Schizosaccharomyces pombe: one gene and its partner. The gene in region 1 interacts genetically with each later gene. Each region holds a gene or a part of one and is shown in the gene's direction. Other genes may lie near its edges.

The links. Genes that interact genetically often act in the same process or in processes that back each other up.
Region 2: mutations in rga3 (region 1) and SPOM_SPBC21C3.14C together harm fitness more than expected from each alone (negative genetic interaction), as found in Schizosaccharomyces pombe (one large-scale study listed by BioGRID).

The regions. Positions count from the first base shown.
Region 1 is NC_003424.3:5,123,015-5,130,998, reverse strand, and holds rga3 (Rho-type GTPase-activating protein Rga3), read left to right. Parts: upstream 1-1,965; 5' UTR 1,966-2,160; coding exon 2,161-5,070; 3' UTR 5,071-5,766; coding exon of another isoform or gene 5,767-6,219; 3' UTR 6,220-6,385; coding exon of another isoform or gene 6,386-6,607; 3' UTR 6,608-7,671; downstream 7,672-7,984. Other genes in the region: RNA polymerase I upstream activation factor complex subunit Rrn5, read left to right, coding at 1-944; protein mug108, read right to left, coding at 5,767-6,219; SPOM_SPAC29A4.22 (uncharacterized protein), read right to left, coding at 6,386-6,607. UniProt on the Schizosaccharomyces pombe protein: GTPase-activating protein for Rho-type proteins.
Region 2 is NC_003423.3:3,818,487-3,823,678, reverse strand, and holds SPOM_SPBC21C3.14C (uncharacterized protein), read left to right. Parts: upstream 1-1,612; 5' UTR 1,613-1,769; coding exon 1,770-4,295; 3' UTR 4,296-4,641; downstream 4,642-5,192. Other genes in the region: SPOM_SPBC21C3.15C (aldehyde dehydrogenase), read left to right, coding at 1-1,111; rps1901 (40S ribosomal protein eS19), read right to left, coding at 4,791-5,149.

The DNA.
Region 1 (7,984 bases):
TTTTGGCGGAGTCTAGGTTTAGGAAACTAGAGGCTAACAATGCCTTTCATAGAAAACCTATTATCAAGAATAGAGACGTTGTTCTGTCAGGCAAATTTTTACGATTTCACCGATTCAATATACCCGGATTTTGGAAGTATTTACCCACTAGACAAAAGATGAATGTTTACAAAAGAAACAAACGTCTCAAATTTCAAAATTATATACACATAATGGAATCTGATGAAAGACAATCAAAACTGAAATTAGGACGAGTCAGAGCACGGAAGACAAAAAATAACGAAAACACCATGTTTTTTGATTCTAAGGAACATTCGACAGATGAAAGCGATGGTAACCTTGGAGAACATGATGTAAAGCGCAAGGTAGATTCTGTACCCGCCGATGAGACTAGCATCAATGGTTTTAAGAAATCTGTTAATCAGGCTGAGTATCCTGATAATGCTCAAATGTTCATGGATGAAAGTGTCGCAGAAGAAAGTCTTGTGGAAATTGATGACAGCGTCGAAGCCTACGACATGATTCAATCCAAAAACTACGAAAGCTTTGTTTGGAAATATGTGCTGCATTTAACCGATGAGATGTCGACAGAGGACGCTCTTTTTGAAACTATACCACTTAGTAATTTGCTGGCTCAAAAGCGAATGAAAGACAAGTTAAAAGGTTCCGACGTGTTTACGACTCTTAAAATAACTTCCAAGAGCTTGCACAACATTGACGAACATTCCGATAGTGATGATGAAGTTCAACCTATATGTTATTATTACAAGGATCCAGTTGTTTCCCATGCCCCGGGTGCAGCTGAAGTCGTATCTGAACTTGAAAGCGGATATGTAGGGTTAATATCCTATGATTTGTCTAATCTTCCAAATAGTACAGAAGATCCTGAAAGGAAACTTGCAAAACCTGTCTCTTCTTGGGAGTTGTCACTCCCTTTAAAATAGATGTCTTCATTTTCGAACTACAGTCTTGAAGCCTTTACAAAAACATAAATTGTTTTTTAGCGCTGCCTCTGTGTTGGATAGCAATCCTTTCTTTTTATCGTCATTTTCTGCCAAGTTTGTTTTTTCCTAGAAAGAAAATTTAATACTTCCTCTTTATAGCAATCAGTTATTGCCATTTATAATGATGAGTCCCAGTGTTCACAATATTCTGAAACTTTTTTTGTTAAAAACTGATTGCTTTCTTCCGTATAATTGTCCCAATATTCGCACCACAACTATAAAAATTTTTTTTAGGAGCCTTTACTTCCTTCTTAAAAGCAATAGTTACTTAATCAATTATAGCGACCCCGCTATTTGAGATACACATTTTATAAATTCTACACTTTTTGGAAACGAGCATTTTCTCTTGTCCCTTTATTTGACGATCCGACCGTTCACGCTACAAACGTCTACAAAATTTTTTTCTCTAGAAAGCATCTCTCCTTCTGTTTACTCCTGTTGCTACCGAAATTTTTTCTTTTTTTTTGTCCTCTGTGTTTTTTGATCAGGAATGTATATATCTTTAACCATTTTTTAGCGGGTTTTTTCTAAAGGTAAAGCTATTTAAGCCAGAAAAACAGTTCATTTTCCTTTTTCCTTCTAATTTCGGCAATTTCCCTTTTCACAAATATCACCATTTTTGAGTGGAAAGAAAAGCCTAGAGAGCGGAAACGCTGCCAAACCCATTAAAATTAATTATCTGTAATATTATAATCGTATTTAATAGCTATTCATAACACCCGTTTCGTCTAAACTCCCGTAATAAACCATGTGACTTTTGGCAATTTTACGCACCATATCGTAGAACACGGCGATAATTTCCATAGTGTTTCGCTAGGCTAGGGCAAGGCAAGCCAAAGACCATAGTGCCATGTGTACGACGCATGCAAATTTTAAGGGATTAGAGTGAACGACTCGCTACTGCCGTTCTCACCGCTCCACTGGGCAATGATGCCAACAACTGCAGTAATAATTATTCCTTAGCCATTTACCAATTGTTTCGAACTTCAATCATAAAATTGGGAATATTTTCATTTACTTGATGGGAAGCTGAGGAATGAAAATAGGTACCCAAAGGAATCGTTGTGAAAATAAAAATCAACAAAGCCAAATTCATGACGCTAGATTGAAGTTCATAACGTTTAGCAGGAAATAAGAAGAGCATATATACGATAAGATGATATTTCGAAAAAGTATTTCCAAATCTCCATCAAGCAAGGGAAGCACAGTATGCTTTCGCTGCGGACAGGCATTTCAACGTAGAGAGACACCTATTTCGTTTGGGGGTCATATGTGGCATAAGGATTGCTTCTGCTGTACGAAGTGCGATAAAGGATTGGAGCACAGTGATCAAATGCTGGTGCAAACCTCTGATGGACGACCGGTGTGTAGCTCTTGCGCCCATACCTGTACAGCGTGTCGTATGAGGATCAAGGACTATGCCCTAATGTCAGGCTACGACTCCTATCACAGAGAGTGTTTTCGTTGCCATGATTGCCGAAAGCAAATAATTGACTCTAACTTTAAAAGAGATAATAGGACTATATTTTGTAATGATTGTAAACAAGTCCGTCACCCTTCCAGGTCTTCAGACGAGAGCGCTGATTATCACAATTTTGAGGTTGATGTCACGATTAAGCCCACAGAGACAAAGTCTTCAGTGGAATCTAATAAGTCTTTAAGCATTGAAATTATGTCTCCTCAAAAGCCACCATTATCACCTTTTGGTGGAAGCAGAGACCGCTTAGTTAGCGAAACACCGACTAACATGAGTCAGGCAGAAGGGGGTAATGTGCCGAACGATGGACAGGATAGTAATCTTGCGTCTAATTCTGCAGATTCGCTGCTGCCTAGTGCCAAAAATCGAAGTTTTTCCTCGTTTACGAGTTTTGAATCGCCGATGAAGTATGACGATTCTTTCTTTCCTATTTCACCTTCTATATCTCCGTTACAAAAAGTTAACAAGCAGCAACAAATTGAGTCTCCTACAGCCACATTTCCGTTAAGCAAAAATACTTGGAAGAATCGATTCCATACGTTTCACAAACAATCTTTTACTCCTGTTAACGATAGCTCTTCCTCGGACAGCTTAAAACCCACAATTAATGAGGAAGCCCTGGACGACTTTGCTGGCTCTGCTTCTCCTTATAAAACCATGTCATTGACTGACCGAGCAGAGCCAATTGTCATGAATGGACATATGCGTTCTCTTCACAATGCCACCTCTCCCTTTCGGCCTTTTTCTCCCTCTTACAGGTCGAGTGATACGCATTCACCGAGAACCCGCTCACCGAATGTCCAAACCCATAAAAAAACCTCTTCTCAGCCATCTGACCTTTCATCTTTTGCGCAGCTACTTTCACCGCCTCAGGTTCTTTCTCCCAAACCAAATGGCGGGGGCCATAAAAGTTTTCGGCATTCGCATTCTCTTTCTGAGACTTCTCAGCAAACACTCGTTCCTTCGCTGGGATCTAATGGAGAGTACCATTTACCGACAAACGATCATTCTTCAACTCCAGCACAATCAGAGCGAGATTCGGATGTTGAAGAATTGCGTGAACAGTTGGAAAATCTTACTGCTCTTACCAAAAAATTGTCCGAAAGGCTCTCAAGTTCTACGTTTGACAACTCTAAGTTTATTCGTACGGAAGATAAGGATACTGTTCGTTCGGCTAAACTTGAAATTTGTGAAAAGTTTTTTTCGTTTGCTGATGTGACAGATGATCCCACGCTGAAAGATCCGAAACATCAGGATTTGGTGGCTGCCGCCAATGCTTACATGGCAATGCTTCGTGAGAGTTACGGCACTGAAATAAACAATCTTTTGGAAAGGAGAAATGAGCTGCTTGACGATTACAATAATGTACAAAAAATTTTAAATGAATCGCTTGAAGCATCTGTACACCTAAATACCAAAAATCTCGAGTTGGCCGACTTAAACAACAATTTGGTAAAACAAATTCAGCATAGAGTACCTCCTGAAAACCAATCCAATTTGGAGCATACTATTACCACATCTTCCAAAAATACAACCAGCAGTATTAATCCACTTACTGCCGTGAGTAGCAACTCTGGGCAGTCATCAGGTCGACCTGGTCCGTTGTCACCAAATTTGAATGTGACTACGAGAATTGACATTAAGGGAAAAAAGGGAAGTATGCATTTGCAACCAAGAGATGTAAACCGTAAAGTCCCGTTCAAATCAATGCATACTAAATCAAAGTCTGCCGATCCTGTAGTAGGAAATGAAGATCGTACTCAATGTGACCATGTGTTTCATGTTAATGCCATATTCAAGCCCTCAAGGTGTTATATATGCTCGGAGAGCGTATGGGGATCTGAACTCCGCTGCTTTCATTGCTCAATTTCATGCCATTCGCGGTGTTTAAAAAGGCTGTTTGCAGAGTCGGAGCATGAGAAAACAATGAGTGAAACTGTAAGTGAAAATAGTAAATGGATGCCGGAAATGCCAACGAGGATGCCTCCTCCTGGGCCTTCACCAACGATGTTTGGACGATCGTTAGAAAATCAATTGAAAATTGAAGGGTCGGTTTTGCCTCAAGTAATTGCTATGTGCGTTTCTTGCGTGGATGCGCATGGATTGGAGGTTGAAGGTATTTATAGGATATCTGGCAGTGCTTCTCAGGTCCGAGTGTTAGTCGACGAATTTGAAAACGGGTCTATCCGAATGGAGCATTTGACTTCTGACTTGTTTGCCTGTACGTCGGTTTTGAAAACATATTTGCATCGCTTACCGGAACCAGTTATACCTGGCACTCAATACGAGGAGTTGTTGGAAGCGGAAAAAATCGAAAAGGAAGAGGAAAAAATTGAACGGGTAGTGGAAGTAATGAAAACGCTTCATCCTGCACATTTGAGCGTATTTCGATTTTTGATTGCACATTTGGGTCGTGTATGCAAGCACGCGGAGAAAAATTTGATGAACTCGAAAAATGTCTCTACAGTATTTGCACCTACTTTAATGCGAGATAAGGTGAATCGGTTTGATTTACAGCATGCTACCAAAAAGAGTACGGCTCTTCAGTTTATGCTTGATAACGTGGATAAGATTCTTCATAATCTGTAGCTTGTTTTATGAATAATGATTAAAATATCGGGGAACTTGTATTTTTCTAGGGAAGAAGGAACTTTACGATAATAATAACCACTTGTGTTCCAAACTTCAATAAGGAATACTTTTCGAAGAAATAATGAGACTTTTTTTACACCTCTTTTTTTTAATGAAAAAAGGAAAACAAAGATATTAGCATAACACTCTTACATTTACGACTGAACTATTCAAACTGGGTAATACAGGATGTACATTATGACAAGCAGGCAAGCACACGCACGCTCATCAGATACAAATAAATACGCACGCAAATGGAGATTGTATAAAGATATTTGCCATTAAGCATTGCGAGATGCAAAATAAGGAAAATATAATGCTAATTTGATAAAAAAAAAAGAAAACAAACTCTTTTTAACGATACTAAACAGAACTCAACTCGATTTGGTTCGAGTATTTCGTTTCTCATAACTTGAACATAAACACAACATAAACAACTCATCAAAGACACATACATACACAAACACTACGGTCGTGCCATCATGTCTCGAAATCTCAAAGAATGGTATGGGGAACATGGTGAGGGATGAATGGCAGTGAACGTGAAAGGGGATGGATGGCATAATTAAATGTAATCTGCAACATTGTCAGTCAGGGTATGACTAATCAAAAAATAAAAATTACAAGGGAGTAAGAAAAAAAAAACAAAAGCAATCAAATAGTACTACCTAAAAGGCTTATATCCCTATCAAGATAAGGATCGTTTTGCTCTTCCTCATCAAGTTGTTCCTCGTTATTGTTTGCATTTTTCTTTTGTGTTCCATTAGCGCTCTTGGAGCGTGATTTCTTTCCTCCAAAGATGCTGCCAAGACCGCCAAGAGACGAGAAATTAACACGGCCAGTATGTTGACTGGAACGGTTGCGAGTAGACTCGGACCTGGAGTCATCGTCGCCGATATCTTCCTGAGTGGCATGGTAGCTGGAGCTCTCCATGTCATCCTCCTCTTCCTGGACCAAAGGTCCGGCCTCTGGATATTCATTCATGTATTCGTTGAATGAATGAACGCCCATCGAAGGATGGCGTTGTCTACCGGAGAAGGAGTGTTTGTCAACATGATGACCATGGGTTTCTTGAGTTTGATCACTAGAAGTAAAACGATTTGCCATTGCGGTGGATTTGAAGAAATTCGATTAGTCAATTAGTATTGGATGAAATTCAATTTCAAATTGATTTGGATTTGGATTGGATTGGACTGTCAATAACAATTTTCAACTCAATTGGTTATTGTTTGTTTTGTTATTGTTGTTGTTAGATTGTCAGTGGGTGGGTAATTTAGCTTGACTCGCTGATGATCAATAAGGGTGGATATGAATACGATTCGGTATTTGTTATTACGAAGGATGAAATATATATGTACTGTATTTTGGGAATGGAATTTTCACTCTTAGTGCCCAACCTTCTATTTATCTCCTTGCTGTGGCCAAATGTCATACGTATTGGGTTGCTACATTGAATGTAAGTGTGCCTTACTCGTCCTTTCACCCGCAACTCCATTGTTATCCAGCATCGTCATCCACTGCAATCGTGGCGCCAACCTCTTCACTTCCACCACCCATATAGCATATTTCCGTGAGTGTGTACCTCGGCGAGATCCGTTAAGTGGGTTTACGAAACAGGCCAAGAGGAGGAGGAGGGTTTGGTGATAATGCAATGGAGCACACAAGTAAGCAGGACGAAGTATGATTGATGGATGGATGAAGGAAAAGAAGAGAAAATGGCAGGTTGGTTTAGAAGAGGCTGTTCATCCCGTGGTATCGCAGTCTCAAGTATGGCACGGAAAACAAGCGTCGTTTTAATTGTCCAGGAGAAAAACAAAAAGGAAACAAGACTTTAGAGGGTCAGTCTTTTTTTTATGTCTTTTCTATTTTTGCTTTATGTTGTTGTTTTATATTCTTTCTTTCTTTTTTCTGCCTTCTTGACAATTAATTGATTTCCGCGGCAAGCTTAGTCAGTCTATAATACGGTGTTGTGCATCAGAGATGTTATGGCATTGCGTCATGATCGACACCCTTCCTAATCCCTTTTTTCTCCGCCTTCGCTTCCCCACACTTGGAGTCACAAGGCTGAGTCGATGCTACCTGAAAAGATGGGGTAATGGCATGACGAAAAAGACTGCAGGAAGAGAGGGGTGGGTGAAAGAAAGGGATTCAAACGAGACATCAATAATGGATGGAAGAAATAAAAACATAAAAGAAAAAAGAAAAAAAAAAGAAAGAAAAAGTTAAAGAAGATGAAAATTTTTGTTTGTTTGTCTCAGAACTAAAGTTTTTTTTGCTCAATTTTCTGTTCAATTTCTTTGATTCGCATTTTGTTTTGTTCCACTTTTTCTTTTTTTTTTGTCTTTGTTCCACCATTGGTTTTCTTTATCCATCTCTGTCCATTGTTGGTAATCTTGCTTTATGATTATAGGAGTCCTTTGTTTTCTCTCTCTCTTTTTTTTTTTATTTCTTTGTATGAATTGCCTTTTTTTTGACTAGCGTTCTTTGTCATACATGTCATCTTGAAATAGATGGTTTTGATTGTTTCTTGTTTTCAATAACTTTTTTTTTTTTTTTTCTGCTCTCTTTCTCTTTTCATTTTTTTTTTGGTCAGCGTGAGATACTGGCTTTCATTGAGCTACAATAAATAGTTTTGACTTTTTATTTCTATTTCTATTTCTTCTTTATTTTCCTGCTGTCTTTCTCTTCTCGCATACACAAAAGAGACTCAAACATACACACACACATACTCGGAGAGTTTCTCTCTCTCTCTCTCTCTTTTTTTTAGAGTTTCCTTTTTGCTCACTTGTTTTTCTTTGATCGTCGTTCTTTACGACATCTTTGTATTATAACGAAAATAACCTTTATTTGGACTTTCTTTTTATTCACTGTG
Region 2 (5,192 bases), on another chromosome or scaffold:
TGCTGGAAACGCTATTGTTGTGAAGGGAAGCGAGCTTACAGCGTGGTCTACACATCAATATTGTGAAATGGTTCGTAGTTTATTACAATCAATGGGCCATTCCCCTGAACTCGTTCAATGTATTACTTGTCTACCAGATGTTGCTGATCACCTTACCAGTCACTCTGGAATTAAGCATATAACTTTCATTGGTTCTCAGCCTATCGCAAAATTGGTTGCTGCTTCTGCTGCAAAACAACTTACTCCCTTGTGCCTTGAATTAGGAGGAAAAGATCCTTGTATTTTAACTGACGACCACAGACTAGAAGAGATCTTGTCTATAGTTATGCGAGGTGTTTTCCAAAGTGCCGGACAAAATTGTATTGGTATTGAGCGTATCATTGCTTTGGATGGCGTTTACGACACCATAATTACGAAATTATACAACAGAATTTCCACTATGAGACTTGGCATGTACACCCAAAATGATGTCGATATGGGTGCTATGGTATCTAATAATCGATTTGATCATTTAGAATCTTTAATACAGGATGCTGTTAGCAAAGGAGCTCGTTTAGTGTACGGTGGTCACCGTTTTCAACATCCTAAGTATCCTAAAGGAAATTATTTTTTACCCACTTTGCTTGTTGATGCTACTAATGAGATGAAGATTGCCCAAGAAGAGTGCTTTGCTCCAATTGCACTTGTTTTTCGAGCAAAATCACCCGAACATGCTTTAGAGATTGCTAACGGTACTGAATTTGGGTTGGGGGCATCCGTGTTTGGCCGGGATAAGCAATTATGTCAATATTTCACTGATAATTTGGAAACCGGTATGGTTGCTGTTAATGATTTTGGTGCCTTTTATTTGCTACAAATGCCTTTTGGTGGTTGCAAGAAAAGTGGTTATGGAAGATTTGCCGGATATGAGGGTCTACGCGGAATCTGCAATTCCAAGGCTATTGCTTACGATCGATTTAGTGCCATCCATACTGGCATTCCCCCTGCTGTTGACTATCCTATTCCCGATTCTCAAAAGGCTTGGCAATTTGTTCGCGGTCTTATGGGAACTGTGTATGGCGCTTGGATCAGTCTTGTTCCTAATGTTTACCAATTATGGCGTAACTCTTAAGTATTGTATCTTCTGAAGTACCACTTCTTCACTCATTTTTTTGTTCTTTGAAACTTTAGTTTTCCATTCTTTGTATACGATTACAATACCTAAATTTTTAAATTTGATAGTGAGTATTTAAAAACAATTAGTACGCGCTTGTCAATAGAGAAAAGCTAAAAAGCTTGTATAAGTTGGTGTAGGACCAATGTATTGAATATGGTGTTTGACAGACAACCTCGTAAAGTGCTTGTTTGTTTACAAATTGTGGATCACATGTTGGTATTAAATTATTTCTATTCTTAAGTTGTCACTTTTAAGTAAAATTTACCTTTTATTTTTTTTGAATTTATCTCGATAATGTGTCTATGCGAAACTCGTCCATATATTATAATTGTAAACTCTCAAATACTGATTATTTTTATTTGAATAATAAAATTGGTGTTGGCATTCCCGCTTCTATAGGTATATAAGGTACACGATAATTGATTGAGTACTCTTAGTATAGGTTGCTCGACTATTACATCTTTCCCCACTTCCTATCTGCTGACCACAACTAGCAGCTAAAATATTGCTGCTTTGACTACAGTAGTAAAGTTGTGTTTTTAATTATTGTTTCCATTTTCCTTTTTCAAATAAGTTAGTTTTACTTTCTAACTGTACACTTTAGTTTCATAGAATGAAAATCGAAAGATACTTTAAAGCAATAGCAAGGGCATTTATTATTACTTTTTTATTTTCCCTTATTCTTCAAGATAATGGCGTGTTAGCTAGAAAAGCCAAAAAGCAGGACAAAGGTGCTGCTTTGAAAAGTATATATGATTATCACGTCCGTCCCTACGGAACGGTTGTTCAATCTCAAATTGCTAAAGCCAGTCCTATCGTAGATGCTGCAAAGCAGGCTACTGTTAATGTAAAGTCTTACTACGATGAGCATGCAAAGCCTAAAGTTGAGAATATTCGATATGAGGTTAATGAAGTAATCGATAAAAAAGTCGCACCTTGTATAAAAGCATTCAACGAAAAAGCCAGGAAAATTGGCTCTAAAGTGTTGGATGGCGATAATTTACGTGAACTCTATACAACAGGGAAGGAAAGGATTCATTTTTTTATTGTTGATGTTCTGATTCCGTTTTTTCAAAGAGTTGTACAAGAAGTTCGTACCATCTCGAGGGACATTGCCGAGAAGCTTCAATATTTTTGGGAGATTCATGCTATACCGGCATATCACCATTATAAACCCATTATTCAGAGAGGGGCAATGGATGGTTACATGCAATTACGCTATGTGTTTTTTCCTGCCGCTAAGGCTACAATCACTCAAATGATTGAGACGTCTATAAGATTTTTGCGTACCTTTCTGGACATGCATATTAAACCCCAACTTCAGCATATTTATGAGAGTGTTGTCGAGGAAAAATCGGAGGCCTTTGCATCAGCAACAAGCTCAAAAATACTGTCTGAAATGTCTGCTTCCATGGCGTCCAGCTCAGCACATTACACATCCTCTCCTACTATCTTATCGCGAACAAAGTCTGTAGAAACGCCTGTACCAATGGAAGCTGCAGAAGAAGAGCCGGCAACTGAATATTCCATTCCCTCTTCTGTTACTTTCAACAGTCAAAATGACTGCTTCTCCAACGCAATGAATTACCTTGAGCATGAGTATGAAACCTTGGTTTCTACGTTTACTCTTTCAGTTTCCGAGCATTGGGAAGATCTTCTTCGTAAGGCTACCGATAGTTGTCAAAAGGAACTTGAAGCATTTGAAGAGATCTCTAACCTTCGTGTATTGGCAGTTGAGAATTCCTTAGGAAATCTTATTCAAAAAGCCGAAGAATCTAATTACGATCAGGCAATTATGGATCTATTTGAATACGTTAAAGATTCTATTTTAAGGGTTCACGAACGTGCTATTAAACTCAGGACTCTAAGTGATTCAATTCGTGCGGACGTAGCTGAAAACATTGAGATGGGCATTAATTCAATTCGCGAACAAGCTGCTGCCTCTTCTGAGGTAGCCCTTGCTGCTTGCTCTGGAATAAAACACAATGCTGAGCAAGTGAATAAACTAAATGCACTGATTCAGAAAGTATATTCATACATTACTGCAGAAAGCGAAAAGGTTGGTAACCGTTATGGCGAAACTCTTGACAACGTTATTAAACAACACCTTTCACGGATAGGAAGTGTTGCTTCTAGTGCAGTCCAGCGATTAACTGCTGTAAAAAATTCCCATAAACTCAAAATGGTTGATAGATCTTCTGCTGAACTTCCTAACTTTGATTATCTCGTTTCCGATCAGGTCCATAAAATTGTTGAAATTAATGATGAGCATGCTGACTGTGATGATGTCAATTTCAGTACTGCATCTTTTGAAATATATGAAAGAAGCATTCCAACCCATGGAGCTGATTCTGAGCGTAAAATTTTGAAACGCGATTCTTTACTCAATGAGGATGATGAAATCTTCAATGATTTAAATAGTGATAAAACTATTAAAACAAATCAAGCAACCAGTACATCTTCTTCCAATACACAGGAAATAAGTTACACTGGCACGCTCAATGACAATATTAATGAAGGACTCTCCACTTTTCCATCGATCGATATTCCTGCATCCGAAGCTGACAACGTTTACTCTATTTTACCAATTGATGTTTCAACATCTGAGGCCGAAGGAGCTTACTCCATTTTACCTATCGATGTTCCAAAATCTGTTGCTGAAGAAACTTATTCCTTTTTACCTTCTGATGTTCCAAAATCTGAAGCCGAAAAAGTTTACTCCATTTTACCTATTGATGTTCCACAATCTGTTGCTGAAGAGACTTATTCCTTTAAGCCTAGTGATATTCCAGAGTCTGAAGCCGAAAAAATTTATTCAATTTTACCTATTGATGTTAAAGATCCAAGCTTGGAAAAAGATGGTCATGTAATTGATAGTTCTAACCTCCAGACTGATAGTGTGAAGGATTACTCCGAAGTAAGTCGCGCTGATAATCTGGATGCTAGTTCTGATACGATATTTTCCGTTTTACATGCGGAAAATGAAGCTTCAATAACTAAGGAGGTTCATTCTACTCCGCTCTCTGATGTCGCTAGTTCTGAAGCTGAGAAAGTATATACTATTTTACCTATTGAGGTGCCAACTGATCCATTGCCAAATTATTCCAGTGATGTTGAATCAGAGCTCACTTCAGATTGAGCATAGTTAAAGGGAAATGGATTAATGATATGGGAATTCAATTAAGTTTAGTATTTTTACTAGACTTGTGGAAAGAAAGTATCTATGTGATTTATGTTATTTAACGTCTACAGACTAAACCAGTCAAGATTTAATGAGCTTATTTAAGTTCTTTTGCTTTGCTGAACGCTCGTTGATGGAAAATGAGGAAAAACTAAGTATTTGAGCTTGAGTATTTTACTCGGAGAATGAGTAGACAGATGGTAATACCATGATCGTCGACGTGCCTATTACTATTTATTGTATACTTCGTAGAAAATTAGGAGAATAGAAATTAATAAATAATCCATGTGTTTTTATATTAATATGTCTGATACGGTAATGAAAAGTCTACAGGGATTACATGCCAGTTTAAAGGTAAAAGGTTTATTTATATTACGATTTTTTTCGTCTACTTATTCAATAAACCCATTAAGAGAAGCCACTTAAACACTTAGATTAAGACTATAGAAATGCTTACTCGCTTTCTTCTTCCAAAAGAGAGTAGGCAATACGGTCCAAATCACGTTGACCTTGTTGGGAAATACGGCGGCCACCGTTGTCGGACTTTTCAAGAACACCGATTTTCTCCAAGCTTTGAACAACTTTGCGTTGTACACTGCCAGAACCATCACGGTGATGAGAAGGGCGCATGCCACGGTTAACGGAACCACCATAGACCTTGCAAAGACGGCCAACACCAACTTGCTTGCGGAGATAGATGTGGCGGGCAATGGCAGCAGCGCGGACATAATACCAATCGGGGTCGTAAGGAGCTAACTCTTTGTGAGTACCAGTCTTGACGATGTCAATCCATTGAGGAGTAGTCATCTTGCCTAAAGATTGTATTAGTAAGTTAACAAATAATAGATGTTAGTT